2 linked regions of the Danio rerio genome follow. The protein of the gene in region 1 purifies or fractionates together with the protein of each later gene. This does not show direct contact. Links are inferred from orthologs where the notes say so. Each region holds a gene or a part of one and is shown on either strand. Other genes may lie near its edges. The genes, in order: junba and atf3.

Evidence for each region.
Region 2: the proteins of junba (region 1) and atf3 purify together in Homo sapiens (affinity purification with mass spectrometry; 3 studies listed by BioGRID and IntAct, counting the BioPlex papers as one, with this or other methods). This does not show direct contact. The link is inferred for Danio rerio from reciprocal best matches to the Homo sapiens genes JUNB and ATF3.

What each region holds. Positions count from the first base shown.
Region 1 is NC_133176.1:55,052,776-55,062,750, forward strand, and holds junba (junB proto-oncogene, AP-1 transcription factor subunit a), read right to left. Parts: upstream 4,828-9,975; 5' UTR 4,724-4,827; exon of another isoform or gene 4,603-4,723; coding exon of another isoform or gene 4,501-4,602; coding exon 3,625-4,500; 3' UTR 3,276-3,624; downstream 1-3,275. UniProt on the Homo sapiens protein: Transcription factor involved in regulating gene activity following the primary growth factor response. Binds to the DNA sequence 5'-TGA[GC]TCA-3'.
Region 2 is NC_133195.1:41,073,246-41,083,896, forward strand, and holds atf3 (cyclic AMP-dependent transcription factor ATF-3), read left to right. Parts: upstream 1-3,978; 5' UTR 3,979-4,069; intron 4,070-5,943; 5' UTR 5,944-5,951; coding exon 5,952-6,194; intron 6,195-6,341; coding exon of another isoform or gene 6,342-6,382; coding exon 6,383-6,490; intron 6,491-8,180; coding exon 8,181-8,438; 3' UTR 8,439-10,394; downstream 10,395-10,651.

The sequences.
Region 1 (9,975 bases):
CTCATGCACTGAAATATCTGTAGTTTGTGTTCAGCTAGTTAGTCTGCATTGCATATTTGGTACTCTGTGAACATAGCTGGTTTTAAATTCTCTCAAGTTGTTGGCATTCTGGTGATTTTGTCAATATCTCTGTTAAATAAACAGGCTGTTATTGCTGAATGTTGCAGTTGTCTTATTGTGCTTGCTACTTAATGGATGGTTGACCTCAAATTAAACATTTAATTAGTTTAGAAGGTATGGTAATGGCATGGTAAACCGAATTTTAAATGCAGAAGGACACAGTAGTGTTTTCTTCATGTTTTAATATTAGAATTATAATAGATGGAACAGAATTTGAGAGATAAATGCATATCATGAAATTGCATGATAATTCATGAAACTAAACCTGCGAAAACAAATTTAATAAATAGGCAAAAATTAAATGAGTAAATAAATCAATAAATTCTTGCATAAATAAAACCTTAAATAAATATCCAAATGAGTGTATTTTAAAATTTTTTTTAAAAATGTTGCATAAATAAATATTGAAATGAATAATAGTGTGGGTATGGAGAACAAAACCTGCAAAACAATAAAGAAATATGCAAATAAATGAATAAATAAATACATACACATTCCTGCATAAATAAAACAATAAATAAATACCTACGCAAACAAATATTTATTCTTGCATAAATAAAACATTAAATAAATACACAATTAAATGTATAAAATCTACAAATTTGTGCATAATTAATAGTAGTTTGAAAGGGGGAGAAATCCACGTTCAGTTAAGCATTTTCTTATTCCCCCAACATCTGTGTAATTTATTTTTAATCTGCCTGTACTATTTAAACAATTATTTATGCAGGAATTTGTGTTTTATATACATTAAGTTATTTTTTGGATATTTATTAATTTATTGCTTTGTTTATGCAGGAATTTATTAATTTATTTACTTATTTATTTGGCTAGTGTTTTATTTAGGCAGGACTTTGGGATAAATTTGCATATTTATTGATTTATTGTTTTATTTATGCAGGAATTTGTGGATTTATTATTTAGTTAATTTGCTATTTATTTTTTATTTTATTGTTTTTGCAGGTTTCTCCCTTTCTCCCTCCATAGTATCTTATATAATATTATAATTCAATTAATAGTATAAATATACATTTTACCACCCCTATAACGGTTCATACCATTGTGAAGGCAAGCGCGCCAAACACTCTGTGAGGAAAAAACATTCACTCGACGATAGTCTGAAACTGGCAGGTCTTCAGCAGCTACAGACATCGTAAGTGTTTAAAAGACACTTGTTTTAAGTAGAATATATGTTTGTGTCTGTATATAACTTAAAACTAAAGTCAATTGAGTTATATAGATTGACCTAAAGTAACCCCTGAAACGACTAATCGAGTCACTATAAGTTAGAATACGCTAAATATCCTTTAAAACACTGAAGACTTATGTTTTATTATTAAAATATACGTAATTAAAATGAATATATAAAACATATATTATTATATAAATATATAAAACAGACATTTGATTCACTGAAGCGTGTAATACGCTATCGAACATAGGCCTAAATGATTCACACCCTGATTAAAATGCTTGTTTAAGAATATAAAGTTATTAAGATTAAAGGTAGCAGGCGAAGTCAAACGTATTTTCTCTGATAATGACATTACAATATTTTTGGTGGAAGTCAAAATTAACAGAATATTAACAAATCTGCCCTGCAGGTGGCAGTGTTTCATTATAGTTAGGACAGAGTTACAGCTCTGGAGTCCTCATTGATTCAGCTGTAATGAAGCAGGAATCACTTTTCTACATAAACCCAAAACAATTTTAATAAATATTTGGCAAATCTCGTGTTCAGGACTGAGTGAATGTGTACTTGCTTAAACAAGTGATTCGTAAATTCTGTGGTTATTTTACACTGAATTTTAAACCAGCTCAGACATAAATAGTAATTTAGTTAATCTCCTAGAATTGTCTTTATTGCTTAAATCTGTAATTTTGTTTACAACATCCCCGTGTTTTCTTATTATTTAAAGGCCAGGGCTCATTTCTGTGTCCATGAAAAAGGTAAATTCTGCCTTAATAAAATGTTATACTTTTTTTTTTTTTTTTTTAAATATAACAGATATTATAATATAAAGTGTGCCGTGTTATTATCCTGTCATCTCAAGCTTTACCTTATTCATTCACTCATTTTCTTGTCTGTCTTGTCCCTTTGCTTTACCTTATTTAAAAATCTAAATGTTTATAACGTGTATTAGCTTGGTTTCAGACTATGGTGACAAAAATGACCACTACAAAACTAAAAAATATGCTAAAAATGTTAATTATTAACTTCATATGTTGCCAGTAAAAATTCCTGGGTTTAAAATGTTGACTTGGCTCTTTAAAATGAAAGGCTATTTTATAATCTAGAAACTTTTAGATTGATCTTTATTGTGGAATAGGGTACTTTTCCAGATGATTTTGTAAAAGAAAATATAATAGGCAAGATGCCTTCTTTTAAGAAGAGATTTCTAACACTGCATCGCTGCGAAAACATTTGAAGTAGCTAAGTGAACTTTCTACGGCACAATTCAGTGTAGATGTGTGTTTATAGTCTGTGAGGAGGCTCGAAACAACCATTCATTCAACATCTGAAAGGTGTAATTAGCATAATGGACAAATAACCCTCTTTTTGTCACCTAAAATCTAAGTATTTTAGGAATTATTCAAATGAATTTAACATTTTAATAAAGGGTTGGCGTTTTTAATGGCCAGTTCGGCTAATCTACCGCCTGTGTGTTTTCGGGAAATAGCTGATAAAGGAGTCACTGTGGGCACTTCTCGTTTATAAGCCTTGCTCTTATATTTACTGAGATCTGTTTGTCTATTTTTGTGCTTGCGACGGCTCCGTTTTCTGCAAAGTACCTGGAAAATGCCCGTGCTCATATTTTTATCTCTAGTTTTCTTTTCGCTGAAACTGTTTTGGGAAGGTTTGTGCGCGCGGGGAAAATCCCGCGTTGCTAAATTTTCTCTCGTTCACACGCGCTCCATTCATCGAACGTCAGAGTTGAAAGCGCGCGGACTTCCTGACCGGTAGCGTGGGCGGGGGTTCCCGAAATCTACCCTTAGTGACGTACATAGACCAAAACTGCCCATATATGGGCCTTGCGTCAGCAGGAAAAAAAAAGCCAACGTGGGCACGTCTTCGACGTAACTTTAAAGCCGTAGGCTACAGAATAAACTTTGTTTCTGCTCTACGCTTGAAATAAACAACCCAAACAGTAGAATCATTTTCAACATTTTTACTTAAATATAAAAAATAAACAAAAACAAACAAACAGAAAAACAGTTAAAGGTCTGGCTCAACCTGACTCACAATATCAATAACTTACTGGAATGTTTTCAAAGGGCAGCACTTAACAACAAAACCAAAACTGTTCACTTCAAAAGTTTAGTCCATTGTCCGTTCGGCTGAAAGTACCTTATCTTTGGAAAACAACAATAACATTAAAGTTTTCTACAAGAAAACACTTAAGAAATATACAACGCTCGTACTCAGTGCTGCGACAATAACATCATCACAAACAGGATCTGCTCTTCCAGTGTTTCCCAGAGTCCGTAGCATCCCTCTCCCCCCTAAAACGACTTGATCTTCGGCGTCAGCATCAGCTGGCACCCGCTGCTCACATGGGTCATGACCTTCTGCTTAAGCTGAGCTACCTGCTCCCTCAGCAGGGACGCAGTGCTGGACAGTCCGGCGTTATCCGACTTGAGCACTTTCACTTTGTCCTCCAGCCGGGAGATGCGCTCCAGCTTCCGTCGCCGGCACTTGGTGGCCGCCAGTCGGTTCCGGAGCCTCTTGCGCTCCGCTTTGATGCGCTCCTGGTCCTCCATGTCGATGGGCGACATGGGAGGAGAACCATCGCTGCTCTGCAGGTCGGGGACGGTCTGTGGCTCCTCTTTCAGAGTAACGAGCCGCTGCGGATGGAGCGAGTGCTGGAAGTGATGAGGATGCGGCGTGGGCTGGTGGTGATGGTGGTGGTACTGCTGGTGGTGGTGATGGTGAGGCAGGTAGCTGATGGTGGCTGTCGGGTAGTTGGCTGCAGGTGTGAGGTTAGTGTTAGGATTGCAGCTGTTCAGGGTGGTGTACACCGGAGTCTCGGGCGGTAAGGAGGCGCCGAAGACTGACGACGCCACCGAACAACTCGACACCCCGGGGGCTCCGATGGACACGTTCGGCGGGGGCATTTGGTTCATTTTGTGGAGCTCGTCCAGCGCTTTGACGAATCCGTCCGCGAAGCCCTCTTGCTCCTCTGTGATGCTCCGACCGTACAAATACTGCCCCGGCGTGGGTGATGTGATGACGCCGTTACCGTTCTGGATGATGAGTCTCTCTAGCTCCGGAGAGGCGAGTTTCAGCGAGCCCACGTCTCCGGTCGCCGCCGTGTAGAAGTCGCTTTCGGAGCGGAGGGTCTTGAGGTTCCGGTAGGGTTCGGCGAAGCTCACGCTCATGTTCTGCTTTAGGAGCTTGTAGTCGTGCAGGGCAGCGTCTGGATGACCATAAGCAGAAAGAAACGAGTCGTCATAAAACGGTTGCTCCATTTTTGTTGACATGTGAACAGAGATTACGTTGGGACGTACTGAAGCTGACTAAAGTCCGCAAGTTCTCTCCGTTATATTACATCAGGCAAAAGAGAGCAAAAAAAGAAGAAACTTCCAAAATAGTTTACTGTACCAATTCGACAGGTGTTTTCTCTCGACAGCTGACGTCCAAAAAGTGTCTTCCCAGACGGTTATTTACAAACAGCTCTTCTGGCCCGTCGCGCATTCAGTATCATGATAAGTGCGCCTTCATTCTTATATACTCCAAATGCTGAGGGCGTGGCTGAGATAATCGCGGCCGCTGATTGGACGAGAGTTCGTTCCGCTCCTCGAGCTGTCAGATGGGTTGATGACGTTGTTGCCAGTAAGCGCTGAGATTGAAAACAACGCTGGAGGCGAGAGAGCAAAGGGAGACCGAGCGCTGCGCTCCTATTTTTGTTTCCACAGACAAGAAGCAAAAACTGGCCGCAATAGCTCGGCACTTTTAAGAAAAGTTTCCCATGGCCATGAAAACAGAAACACTACTGTGGTCTCTTGAGAAAAACACTACGTTAGAGGATGTCGTGTGAATAATAATAATAAACATTCTTGTCGAAATGGAAACAAAAGGTTCCAACACAATACTGTGATCTCCGTAGATCTGAAGCAGAATATACGAGGAGCTCTTTAATATAAACGAAATTGGAATTTATTTTAAATGTCAAGCTCTAAATATATTCCTTTAATTTAGGTGGAGCATCTAAACTGGCCATTTAAGTAAATACAGGATTGCAGGATTGAGATTGGGGGATTTCAGCCCAAGTTAAATGTGTCTGAGCTACCACATCATCTCGTCAATGATCAAGAGAAGCTCTATTAAAGGGTTAGTTCACCCAAGAGTTACAATTCTGTCATCATTTACTGACTGGATTCAAACCTTTCTTTATATGTTGAACACTGAAGAAGATATTTTGAGGAATGCTGGAAACCCATTGACTTCCATTGTGTTTGTTTTTCTTAACCGTTAGATTTTTTCAGCTTTCTTCAAAATATCTTCTTCATTGTTCAACATAAAAGTTTTGAAGCAAGTAAAAGGTGAGTAAATGATGACAGACATATAATTTGTGGGTGAACTATCCCGTTAATGTGCTTTATTGTTAAACATGCTAGGAAAGGCTATAGTGAGTAATATAAAAATAAAAGTAATTAAGAGAATATCTAATACAGATTCATACAAGGGCTTATCAGCTATTTGAATTGGACTGCTTTTTAAGTACTGAGTCATATAACACATAAAACATGACTAGTAATAATAATAGATCCTTCTCATAGAATTCACTGTAAATAAAAATGTGTTAATGAACAGTTACTGTATTTAGTGATTCACATGTGTGTTTTCTGTTTATTTATAGGTGTGAATTGCATTATGGGATGTTGATATCTGCTCTGTCGACTTTTAATGTTGAAAATTAAACTCTGCAGTTGAACAAAGTGACTTTTATTGACATTTTTGTCAACTTTATCAAATGAAATGAGTGGAGTTAACTCAAAATTCACTGAAAGTTAACTCTACACGTTCTTAACGTTTAGTTATTTCTTAAACCCAATGGTTGAGTTAAACATATTTGGTGCTTTGTTGGGTTATTTTTACCCTTTATTTGGTTATTTAATAATAACTCAACCAGTTGGGTAAATATTTGATGTTTTGTTGGGTTACGTTTAACCTTTATTAGGTTATTATATAATAACTCAACCAGTTTGGTAAATATTTGATGTTTTGTTGAGATATTTTTTAACCTTTATTAGATTATTTAATAATAACTCAACCAGTTTGGTAAATATTTGATGTTTTGTTGAGATATTTTTTAACCTTTATTAGATTATTTAATAATAACTCAACCAGTTTGGTAAATATTTGATGTTTTGTTGAGATATTTTTTAACCTTTATTAGATTATTTAATAATAACTCAACCAGTTTGGTAAATATTTGATGTTTTGTTGAGATATTTTTTAACCTTTATTAGATTATTTAATAATAACTCAATCAGTTGGGTAAATATTTGATGTTTTGTTGGGATATTTTTTAACCTTTATTAGATTATTTAATAATAACTCAATCAGTTGGGTAAATATTTGATGTTTTGTTAAGATATATTTGAACCTTTATTAGATTATTTAATAATAACTCAACTAGTTGGGTTAAAATTTTGAATTTCCACAGTCAACTGATTTAACTGACACAGAAGAGCTGTATTAATATGCGCAAGTAATGTTGTTTTTGCGTTGTGAAGTTTAAGCTGTAACATAATAATATTGTTATTTTTTATCAAATTACTCTCTGTGTCATGTTTTTTATATCAGTTTCACCTGCCATTCTTGCCTTTGGGACCCAGCGGAGAGATTCATTAATTTTCACAGCCATAGTTAGAAAATAAAAGTAGTACTTCAATAGTAATAGCAGAATGGAAAAAATAACATTTAATTAAAATAACCCAATGCTTTGGGTTAAAATAGCCCATAGTTGGGAAGGTGCTATAATAACCTATAGTTGATTTATATGTTGGGGTATTTTTAACCCAACTATTTTAACAGAGAACTCATTTGAAAATAGTTTTGAACTCAGGGTTGAAGGTAATGAGTTAATTAAATACCTCATTAATTCAACTTAAATGGAGTAAAGTGCTCATATTGATTTGTTTTTTAACTCAAATGGTTTGTAGCAATCAGTTTCTTCAAACGGTTTGAGTTGCCTTAACTCATTGAGTTTTGCAGTACTCAGTTGGTTTGAGTTCTCTTCATTTATTGGGTTTTACTGTGATCAAATTGCTTCGTTTACTCAAATGGAGTAAGTTCACAGTACTCATTAGGATTAGTTTTTGAACTCAAGTTTGTTGCAATAGGTTACCTTAAATGGTTTGAGTTACCTTAACTTTTGGGGTTTTACAGTGTAGTTTGAAATAATATAATGAATAAGAAATAATATATTGAGAGAAATAAATCAAAGAAAATGTACTGGCAGTTTATTACGAGGTTTTTGTAACACAATATACAACACCAACCCAGACAATATATCACTTTAAACTATTAGAAATGTTAATAAAGCCACTTGTTATGGCTAAAAGTTGTTGAAAGAAAGATCCCATAATGCAATTCAAAAGCTAAATATGTAGAAACATAAAAAAAGAAACTGCTGATGTTTTACACTAGAGATTTGTACTCTAAAGTATAACCTGTAAACATAACTCTGCATTGATCTGGAATGATCTGACTCAGGATTTGGCAACTGATATGAGTCCCATATATGGGCAAACCGCAGTGTAGTTCCTCCTTAGTGTAGGACCGGGAAACCTCTCCCATGTGGGCCTGATTCCAGCGGCGACGCCCCCGCACATGGAGCGCTGGAGGAGGGGAGAAGGCTGATAGATAGCAGCACGTACACAACACTCTGGCGCAAGAGTGTGAGATTCAGAGAGCACGTTCTTCATTTGTTCTTTATCTGTTCTTCATCTGACATATTAATGCAGACTGCATGTTAGTGTAGTTGTGCCGGTCTCTCAAACTTGATGCATGCACTCTTAAAAATAAAGGGGGATTTTCAGTGATGCTGGAATCATTTTGATAATAATTATAATGATACTATTGATAATAAAAGTGATGATGATGAGGATGATAATAGTGACAATATTAATGGTAAAAATATTAATAATATAAATATATAATATAGTAATATAACAGTTATAGTGATATAATAAGAATAGTGACCATAATAATATAGTGGTATTACTACTACTATTGACAATAATGAAAATAATATTAATAATATTAATATTAACAACAAAAAGTATTTTGAAAATAATATTAATAATAATAGTGCTAATAATAATAATAGTGTCAAATAATATTAATAATAATAGTGCTAATAATAATAATAATAATAATAATAATGATGATAAATAATATTAATAATAATACTGCTATTAATAATAATAATAATAATGACAAATAATATTACAAATAAAAGTGCTATTATTAATAATATTAATAATGACAAATAATATTAATAATAATAGTGCTATTAATAATAATAATAATAATAATAGCGACAAATAATATCATTAATAATAGTGCTATTAATAATAATAATAATAATAATAATAATAATGACAAATAATACAGACAAATAATATTAATAATAATAACAGCAACAATAATAACAACAACAATAATAGCAATAATAGTATTAAAATAACAGTTATCATATATTAATAATAATAATAGTGAAAATGATAATAATAATATTAGCAACAACAAAAGAATAACAACAATAAAAGTGATAATAATATTAAAATAATAGTAATAATATGCTAATAATAATATAAACAATAATGTCAACAAAGATAATAATGACAACAATATTAGTGATGATAATGTTGATAATAATAATAGCAACAACGATCATAATAAAAGCAATAATAGTGATAGTAATGTTAAAAATAATAGTAATAATATATTATTAATAATAATTTTATTAATAATATATTAATAAAATATAGTTTTATATAGCACCTTTAAAATAAGGCAAGTTAATTTATGTAGCATATTTTTACATGATAATAATTAAAAGTGCTTTAGATAAACAAAAATTAACCATAAAATACAATAATTATAAGAACTGAAAAAATGTAAAGCATTAACGTGATTAAAAACAGATAAATAATGTGATTAAACAGGTTTAAAATGAATATATTTTTAAAAGTAGCATCTTAAAAAAGTGCTTTACATGCATGAAAACTAGACTGAATACAAGCACACTATAATAAATTGCAAATAAAAATCACAAATCGCATAAAAAGTTATGCTAAAAAAATAATATAAGAAAATTGTTCTTTAAAAACCAAAACAAAACACTTGCTTTCTTTTTGTGCCTGATTAACTTTATAAAAAATATAATAATTAAAGTATAAGCATACAGGAAAAAACACATTTTCCCCTGCACAACCCCCAACCCTCTATACAGCCAAACCAAAAGATATCCCTTCAAAACATAACTTGCAATTTACAATTTTCAGAGTTTATAAACAAAATCAATTGATTAAAACATGAAAAAAATCAGTCATGTACATTGTAAACATTTGCAGACAATGCACATAATGGCATTCTCAATACAATTCATGCCACAATAATATGAACAATCTAATGATTAGACTGTCTGACTACAAAAAAAGTTCTAATAATCAGAAAAAAACACTTATTTCTTAGTGTGTTGAACATCTGAATCCCCATTTCCACTATAAATAACCTTTTATGTATGTTGTTTTTCACCTAACCCACAATGGCTGTCATTCAACCTTAGTTTTAATAATATAGGAAAAAAGCGATTGTTTGTAGCAGGTCAGAACACAATG
Region 2 (10,651 bases), on another chromosome or scaffold:
ACTACCTCATTACTTCAACTTATAGAGCTCACAGTACTCATATACATTAGATTTTTAACTCAAATGGTTTGTATGGGTTTCCTCAAATAGTTTGAGTAGGCTGAAGTTTTACAGTATAGTTTTACAGTACCCAGTTGGGTTGAGCTCTCTTCATTTATTAGGTTTTACTTTGCTCAAATTGCCTCGTTTACTCAAATGGAGTAAGTTCACAGTACTCAGTTTTTGAACTTAAATGGTTTGTTGCAATCGGTTTTCTGAAATGGTTTTAGTTACCCTAACTTTTTGGGTTTTACAGAGTAGAGTGTACATAAAACACAAATGTATCTATTGCTTCATAAATATATATGTACACATATTTGAATCAGTTAAAATGTATATTTTAATATTTACTCAAATGTATTTATTGCTTTAAACTTAAAAAAAAAATCCCATATGTTGATGGATATCAACAAAACAACAACAGCAATTTCGCTATATAGTTAATATTCATGTATATTTTTATATTTACACGAATTATTGCTTTATATAAATGTACACATATTTGAATCTTTTAAAGTGTATATTCTAATATACACTCAAATGTATTCATATACACATATTTAAATCAGTTAAAATATAATTTAAATCAATCCGTGATGCAGAAATACACTGTAAAAAAATCCTGGTTGCCTTAAATTGTTAAGCTGAATCAAATTCATGAGTCAATTGAACTGATATTATGTTAAACTGACTTAAAACAGCTTAATAACTTATACAATTAAGCTAGAACATGATTAGCTTAGTTTATGAAGTTACAATGAACTAAAAACATATGCTGTCAGGACTAATTGATCAAATGATTTTTTAAAGTTTAGCAAATGACTTCTCTTTTAAAACGTGACCATGTTTTCTTGTCGAAAATCAGATTAGACCAACAATAAAGATACAGACAGTTGAGTCAAAATGAAACAAAAAAAAATCTTTGCATCAAAAAGAAAGTGAGGGAAATGCAAACTCTGCTGTTTACACACCGTTATCTTTCTGTTCCTAAACTCAAACTTGGCACATTTTTGTTGACAGACAGACAACAATCAACAAGTAACAGATGGAAAAGTGAAATCACTTCTCCTGAAACTTCTAGTGTATTAATAGCTAACAGGTCAATATTGACATCATAACAGCTGTATCCATGTATCCCAGACAGAAAATGGCTGCGGGCATTCAAACACCTGTTTGACTTCATACGATGAACTCTATGACGTGACTCTGCCCTGCCAGATATGATAAAGAGATGATAAGATGGGTAATATACTGCTATATTAAGCTCTGTGTACTGTTTTAGATATAGATCATTCGCACGGGGCCACGTATGTCCGCTATGGCTGAACACATACAGTTGAAGTCAGAATTATTAAACCCCCTGAATTATTAGCTCCCTGTTTATTTTTTCCCCCAATTTCTTTGTAAGGGAGATAAATTTTTTTTCAACACAAACATAATAGTTTTAATAACTCCTTTATAATAACCGATTTATTTTATCTTTGCCATGATGACAGTAAATAATATTATACTAGATATTTTTCAAGACACTTCTATACAGCTAAAAGTGACATTTAAAGGGTTAACTGGGTTAATTAGGGTAACTTGGCAGGTTAGGGTAATTAGACAAGTTATTGTATAAAGATGGTTTGTGCTGTAGACTATCGAAAAAATATATCTCATAAAATGTTAGAAACTTTTGTACAAAAAATCCATGTTTAAAAAAAAATATTTGATAGTATTGGGCAATTAAAATCAAAGCATGTTGCAAATGTTGCAAGAGCTTTTCTCAGAACTAAATAACTTCCCGTTTCTTAGCCGTTTGCTTTTTCATTTTTGTTTTTTTTATGATTAATAACCAGCTAGAATCAAGGTGATTTTCTAGTTACAATAAATAAATAAATAATGAATAAAAATATAAGAAAAAATAAGAAAAGAATCTCTCTTGTACATTTTGGGGTCATTATATCATTATTTTTTATGTTTTCAGATATAAGTGTATGTGGTTTGTTGTTAATATCCATTTTTGACATTTCCTAATAGATAATAAGTAAAAATAGAAAAAAAAACTTCTTCATATAATTAAAAGTAATAAATAAATAAATAAAAATAATAAATAAAATAAGAATGGAAAATATAATAAACATATTTCTTTAGTCCTACCTTGTATTTTGGGGTCGTTATATCTTTATTTTTTAATGTTTTCAGATATTAGTATATGTGGTTTGTTGTTAATATCTATTTTTGACTTTTCCTATTAGCTAATAAGTAAAAATAGATAATAAATGAAAAACTTCTTCATATAATAAAATAAATAATATATTCTCATATGTTGGTGGATATCAACAAAACAACAACAGCAAATTTGCTATATAATAGTTCATATAGAAGTATTAACCCAGATTTAAACCAGACCTATTATTCTCTTGAGAAATACAAATACTTGTTTGGACTTTGTGTCATGTTTAGACACGACTCCTTGGTAACATTATTTAGTGTCCAAGCACAAATGTATGTAATAAAGGAGTGTTTTATTGGTGATTGCACCAGGACGGTGAGGAGAGATTACTGGAAATTTCCAGAACACATAGGAAAGAGTGTGGACTGGGCTGTGTAATAATGAACAGCTACGGCAAGAAAGCTGTGCTTCACATTGAAAAGAGGAATGCAGACACTGCTGACGACCCACTCCCTTAAAACATCACCAAATCACTGCGTTAAATATTGAATTGAAAGGAAAGTGAAATAGAAAAACATGAGAAAGATAACAAGCCTATCACTAATTTTACTATATATTTATTAAGCAAACTTTTATTTTATAGTGTTTTGTTACATATTAGATGTACCAAAACTAATTAAGAAAAAAACTTACTCATATCCACCAACTTATTAGTTTAGACAGACAGACAGACAGACAGACAGACAGACAGACAGACAGACAGACAGACAGACAGACAGACAGACAGACAGACAGACAGACAGACAGACAGACAGACAGACAGACAGACAGACAGACAGACAGACAGACAGATAGATAGATAGATAGATAGATAGATAGATAATATTTATAGATAGATTTGTTTTAGTGTTCTTTTTAGACAGAATATGCCTAAAAATAAATTAAATGCATAATTATTTGCAAATAAAATGAACCTTAAATTAATTTTACTCAGTACTTGATATAATGTATAATTAAAAGTAACAAGGATGCTCAAATAAAGTGTAATAAATCGAATTAAACTTTTAAAGTTGAATACACTCAAATATTCAACCCTCTAAAAACTGAAAACCTCTAAATGTCATGTTACAATATTACATAACAATAATTAAATTATTATTAAATGATAAAATCCTAAATTCAGTCAGAAACAAACCAACTAAATTCAAACGCCATAAAAGATATTCAAAGCTGTTTTTTCCCTGAGCCAGTGGACATTTAAAACCAAATTTAAAGCTTTTAAAAAAACAGCCATATACACACTGACCTTGGCTTCATCTCTCCATCTCTTCATAAAAATACTAATAAAAAAAAGACATAAACAAGAAAACATAGGCTAAGTGTTTTTAACTTAACAGACCAAGAGGGATTTTATATGCTCTCTTTCAAACCAAGCAGACAGTCTGTCAGTCAGTCAGTCAAACTCTCTCTCTTTCTCATATCTCTTTTTTCAAAACTATTCGGCACATGACATTAGAGCATACCAGAGATGGCCTGTCATTACACGAGTATATGTCTTTATTTGCTCATTAGGTTAACATGCCAGCTCGTCAGCTTCACTATTGTGAGGGAGGGCGGGAGTTTGCCCAGTTATGGTGCGCGGCGGAGAGGGTTGCCTGATTGCATCATCGCGAAAGGACAGCGCCGCTGATGCTATAAATAGGGTGACGTCACTCGCCCCGCCCCTAGTAGTAGTTCACGTCCTCCAGCCATAAAAAGGGGTGATGCAACGAGCCGGCGACAACTGTAACTTTAGCAGCTGAGCGCGAGAACAGTCCGGCATCAGGAGAGCATCACAAACACACGCGCCTACATTTATTTACACACAACCAGGTAAGAGACGGCATTGTAGATTTCCTATTCATCGCTATTCTGGAACACGCTGTGGGAAAACGTCTATGGTGTGCTTGGTTTGGGCTACTAAAGGGAGATTTTTGCGTTTATGGGTCAAGCGATTGTATTTAGGTTTGAGTTAACGAACTCTTTTTTAACGAACTTTTATTTAGCTATAATGTATGTGCATTACTGTTTTTTTGCGTTAATATTTGTTCGATATTTATTAAAATTGGATTAAAACTGATTGATTTAAGTTCTCCTGTTTTCAAATTGTTTAACCGACAATGTTACGTCAGTAAGTTTACTTCATCGACAATGTGTAACACGAATACAACTCATGAAATAGTTAAAGATTATGATTTCATATAGCCTACTCTGTATTGAAAACCTGTCACTTAAATGTTAAAATATTAGGACTAATAAGGTTCTTAATCAATATTTGATGGTTTAGATTATTCTGTTTGCGAGTTGTTACTGTAGGCTATAATGTATTTGTACAGTAGTACACATACATTAGCAAAACGTTTGTTGAAATGAATGTTTATGACAAAAAAAAGCGATAGCATACTGTATAAAGAGAGCAAAACGTCTATAATACGTCATTGTAAAAGCAAAATATTGACAGCTGTGGTAGCCAGAACCTATGAAAACCCCTATAAATACTGTAATAATGTAACGAGTAAGATTGCACTTTAATAATTGTAAGTTGTACAGTTTCTATCTATAATTGAATGGTAACGTTAATGTTTATTTACATTATTTATTCCTTTAAAAAGGATTAAAACCGATTGATACGAATACAACTCATTAAATAGTTAAAGATTATAACTTTACTATTTTACACTGTACTACAAACCTGTCAGTCAAATGTTTAAAATATTATTATTAATATGAAATTGTTCATTAATATTTGATGGGTTTAGATTATTCTGTTAGCTAGTCGTTACTTTATGTATTCCTGTCTAGTCATACACATAAAATAACAAAAAAGTGTGTTAAAATGAGTGTTTATGACAAAAAAAGCGATATACTGTGTAAAGAGAGTAAAACATCTATAATACGTCACTGTAAAAAAATATATATATATTGACAGCTGTGGAAGCTGGGAGCTTTTAAATTACGGTTGTCATTGTAAGATTGATTGAGAATGACATGTGGTAAAAATTGTTAGCCAAATTACTTTCTGCTCATGATATCTAGCCTTTTATTAGCCAGTTGTGTCTGTATAATATAATATAATATAATATAATATAATATAATATAATATAATATAATATAATATAATATAATATAAAAACTTTAAAAACATAAACCATAAACGTAACATAACAAAATTTAACAACACAAGAACTTGTGACTACAATATTCTCCCTTAATCAAAACTTTATCACTTTAAAATCTCTTATTACTTAAAATCACTTATCACTTTAAAATGCATATCATTTAATGAATTTAATATTATATTAATCACCTTGTTAAATGTAATATTTATATAAATATCATAAATGACAATAATATTTAACAAGGAATATATATTTTAATTACAATAACTGTATAACTATTGTTTATATAGTTTATTATTATTAACAAATTATAACTGATGGTATATAATTATAACATTATGCAATTAAACACTTTTATTTCTAAAATACAATATTTAATGATCATTTTTAAATGTTGTTTTTGTTACAATTTAATTAATGGGTCTTACTCTATAAATCTGATGTTCTTAATCATTTTCTAACTATAACACAGTTATTTCAGTAGTTTTATAGAGAAAGGTGTAACATTTTTACTTGTTTATTTATTTATCTATCTTACCATTTTCCTCGTTAACATCATGATTTAACTGTTGTTTTGTATTTTTTTAGATTTCGGCATGATGCTTCAGCACCCTGGTTTGGGTCCGTCAGAGATCAGTGCATCAGCTTTGGTTCCCTGTCTCTCTCCGCCCGGCTCCCTCACGCTGGACGACTTCACAAACTTCACTCCATTAGTGAAAGAGGAGCTGCGCTACGCCATCCAGAACAAACGCATGTCCAACGGCATGAGCACCCTGACCACTGACAGAGCCTGCATGAACACTGAGAGACCCACCGAACTACCTGGGATGAAGCGAGAGGTAAGACCCACTCATTTACTGGCACAAATGTTTTTTTTTTTTTTAAGTGTAATTTCTCATATTTCACATTGGTTATATTGAGTAACGTGGACGTAGAAAAGCCATGCTTGCACAATTCACTTGTTCATCCACTTGTGGGCATTTTAGGTAGTTTGGCTTTCCCAAATTGTTAGATGTTGTTATTTCAGGCTGTCCCAGAGGAGAACGACCGAAGGAAAAGAAGAAGGGAAAGAAACAAAATTGCAGCAGCAAAATGTCGGAACAAGAAAAAGGAGAAAACCGATAATTTACAAAAGGTATTACTTGTTATTTAGCATTTGATTAAAAAACGTAACATTTATATGAACATATATTATATCTGTTATTTTTTATTATTGATCTTTTTTGCTATTTTTAACTGTATTTGATTACATTATATCTATTACATCTACAGTTGAAGTCAGAATTATTAGGCCCCTTTAATTAATTAATGTTTTTTTAATTTTACAAATGATGTTTAACAGAGCAAGGAAATTTTTACTGTATGTCTGATAGTATTTTTTCTTCTGGAAAAAGTCTTATTTGTTTTATTTTGAGTAGAATAAAAGCATTTTTAATTTTTAAAAAAAACATTTTTAAGGTCAAAATTATTAGCCCCTTTAAGCTATATTTTTTACAGAACAAACCATCATTATACAATAACTTGCCGAATTACCCTATCCTGCCTAGTTAACCTAATTAACCTAGTTAAGCCTTTAAATGTCACTTTAAGCTGTATAGAAGTGTCTTGAAAAATATCTAGTCAAATATTATTTACTGTCATCATGGCAAAGATAAAATAAATCAGTTATTAGAAATGAGTTATTAAAACTATTATGTTTAGAAATGTGTAAACTCTCCATTAACCAGAAATTGGGGAAATATTAAACGGGGCCAATAATTCTGACTTCAACTGTACCTAGTATAGATGGAGTAAATAAAGTTAAAATAGTCTTTAAAAAAAGTTCTGAACTATAAAGTTCATTATAGAGTTTTTTATATTATGTTAATAAGTCATGCTATATATTTATTAGTGCTGTCGAAGAATTAATGGTTATTTATCACATCCAACATAGTTTATGTGTACTTGGTGTGTATAAATATTATATGAAATTAGAAGTGAAAATAATAATATTGAATAAAAACTCTGACAGCTGTTGTTAACAATAAAACTCACGTGATTCAAACATTAAAGCCAGATAAAAAAAAGTTTAATTTCTCTAATTTCTTTTCGGCTTAGTCCCTTAATTATTCATGGGTTGCCACAGCGGAATGAACCACCACCTTTTCCAGCACATGTTTTACGCAGTGGATGCCCTTCCTGCTGCAACCCATCTCTGGGAAAGGCAGTAAAAATAAAACATTAAATAAATAAATAAAATGACACAATATTTTTTTGCTTTGTCTATGACAATTACACATTTATCACACTTTCAACAGGGTTTTTACAGGTTTTATTAAGTCAAATTTAAGACTTTTTAAGACCATAATAAATGAAATTTCCGACTTACACTTACACAAAAGTTAAAACCTTAAAAAAAAAACATTAAAAACAAATGTCATTGTAAGGAAGATAATTAAACCATATTTAGTGAATTGAGTTAATAGATAAACGTTTCTTAAAACTTTTATTAATGTAAATTGTTGGTGGGTGGGTGTTGGCCCAATTAGGTATAGATTTACATAGACAAAGAAAAATTAAGACTCGTTTAAAATGATTTAAGACCTACAACACAATAATGCTAGTGGATTGAAGACTTTTAAAGGCCTAAAATTTGGGTTTTTAAATGTAAGAATTTTAAGACTTAAGACCCCGCAGATACTGTTTCAGGTTATTTTGAGTAAATAAATTAACTGGCGCCCAATTAAATTAATTAGTTTAATTATGTTTTCCTCTTTATTTTATATTAATCACAATTAAGCTCTAAAAACTCAAGAAACTCATGTATGTTCTTGTTTTGACTTTAGGAGTCTGAGAAGCTTGAGTCCATCAATGCAGAGCTGAAAGCTCAGATCGAGGAGCTGAAGAACCAAAAGCAGCAGCTTGTTTACATGCTCAACCTGCACAGGCCCACCTGCATCGTCCGCGCTCAGAACGGCCAGACCCCCGAAGACGAGAAGAAGCTTTTCATCCAACAAATCAAAGAATCCACACTCCAGGGGCTGGGTTTTGCCACCAATGGACCAACACACACCGCCATACCAACCAGCTGTGGGCATCTGTGAATCACAAACTCTCCAGGCAAACAAGCTAACGGCTCGCCAAGGAACACTGGAAGGTTTGCCCAAGTAAAAACAAAAAAGGACTAAACACGGGTGCCTGCCATGCTGCCAATTAAGGTCGGTCTGATGTACACTGAAAGAGACTAAAAGCACTAAAAGTGTTGAAGGACATTCAATGCGTTTTCACTTAGTTATTTAAATGTGTTCGTCATTGTACTGTTTAACATGATATGCTTGTTTTTCGTATGCACCACCAAAGCTTGATGTCATGTTGCTGCTGCTAGAACAGCATGATTTCATTTATTTATCAGCTTGTTTGTTGAATGAAACCCTGGCGGTGTGTGTTTGATGGCAAGTGCTGTTCTAGTGAGGGGAATATATGTGTGTTTTTGTTTTTGATTTCTTGGCAAGATATACAGGGTGATGAATGAAGTTCAGTTACATATTTATCTATGGCCTTTACCTTGTTAAAGGGATATTTCAGCTCAAAATGAACATTTTCTTACTTGTTGCTTCTGTTGAACACAAAAGAAGATATTTTGAAGAATGTATATGGCCATTTTTCCTATTAGTTCAATGGCTACTGAATTCCAACTGTCTTCAAAATGCCTTCTTAGGAGTTCAACAGAAAAAAAAAACTGCTGATCAATCTGAGGGTGAGTAAATGTACATTGTTGGGTGAACTATCCCTTTATAGTTATTATGTGTCCACATAACATGCCACAAGAAGTATTTCAAGCTGCTACTAATCTCTCAGGACTCGGTCTATATATTATACAGGAAACACAAACTGAATAAACAGATAAAATTACAGGGAAGTGGACGTGGAGATGACAAGGTGTCCTGCACGGTACTTACAAGGAAGTTCTTCGCCACTGCTACCACCTCAATGTTGTTACGATGCTGTGAGCAGGAAGGTCTGAATTTGTCAGTCCACTGTGAACACAAACACACACACACACACACACACATACTCAAAAAAAGTGTTTTTTGTTTATTTCTGATGTCACATTTTTCATGTATTGTAGTTGTGTTGTTATTGTGTAGATGCTATACTCTCAGCTAACAAGTTTATGTTAAAGCTGTGCACAAACACTCGTCGAATCACATTAATTGAATGTTCAATTTAATATGTGCTCAAATTCTTATATGCGAAAAATCTTTTCTTAAAGATTACTACCTGATGCTTGTTTCAGAATTAACGTTCTTATATGGTTTGCACTTTGAACATTCCATTAATGTTTTCTTTAACGTTTGACTAACTTCTTTAAGAAAATAGAGAACCTGAAAAACATTCTTAGGACATATTTTGTTAGCTGGGATTATTCTATAGAGAGAGAGAAACAAAAAACTTGAAGTAAAGCTCTTATTATTTGTCTGGCTTTGTTCCTAGATCATGTGTCAAGCACTTTTAGTGTCACACCACGTTGTTAGTGAAGAAACACACACCACAAGACATCTGATCAGCCCTGTGACTGCATTGCCTAATATTACAGAAAGGTGTACAGAAAGGGAAAATCAATCACTCCATTTCTACTAAACTAAGGAAAACACCAAATCTTCTCATAATATTTTCCCTTATGTTTTTGAGCATGGTCTCCGTTTATGTTCTGTCATGTACTGAAATTTTAAGTGACGCAGGCGTCATCTAGTTTGTTTGTTTCCCTTCTTTTTTGTTTGTATTTGTGCAAAACAGGCATGCCACTTAATGTGGTACTACTGACATTAAATGTATAGTTAAAAACAAAGCTATGCTTCCAATTTGTGGTTAAACCAGATTTCACCCATCATGTCAATGCTGTTGATGTCAATAAGTGCAATTGCTTCCAAAAGTCATGATTGAGAAGATGATAGCCTGTCAAATTCAATTAACTATTTATACGAAATATGTATGGCTTCATTTTGACTGTCTGTTGTTTGTTTTTGATACTTTATTAATAAAAAAGCTATACCACTTGAGTCATTTTACACTGGTTTTATTTAAGACAGCTGTGACTGAAACAATTTGATTGCATCACAAGAGGAAACACCTGCACATTGTTGCTTTATAAAGAGTATTTGACGTGTTCAAAAAGCATAACCATTTATAGTTGTCAAGTGTCAAGGAATTTGTGGTAGGGCAAGTCTACACATGCCAAACCTGAGATACGTGCTGAGTATAACCCTTAGTTCAATCGAGTTCATCCTGTCAGAGAGCAATGATTCAGCATTTTTTA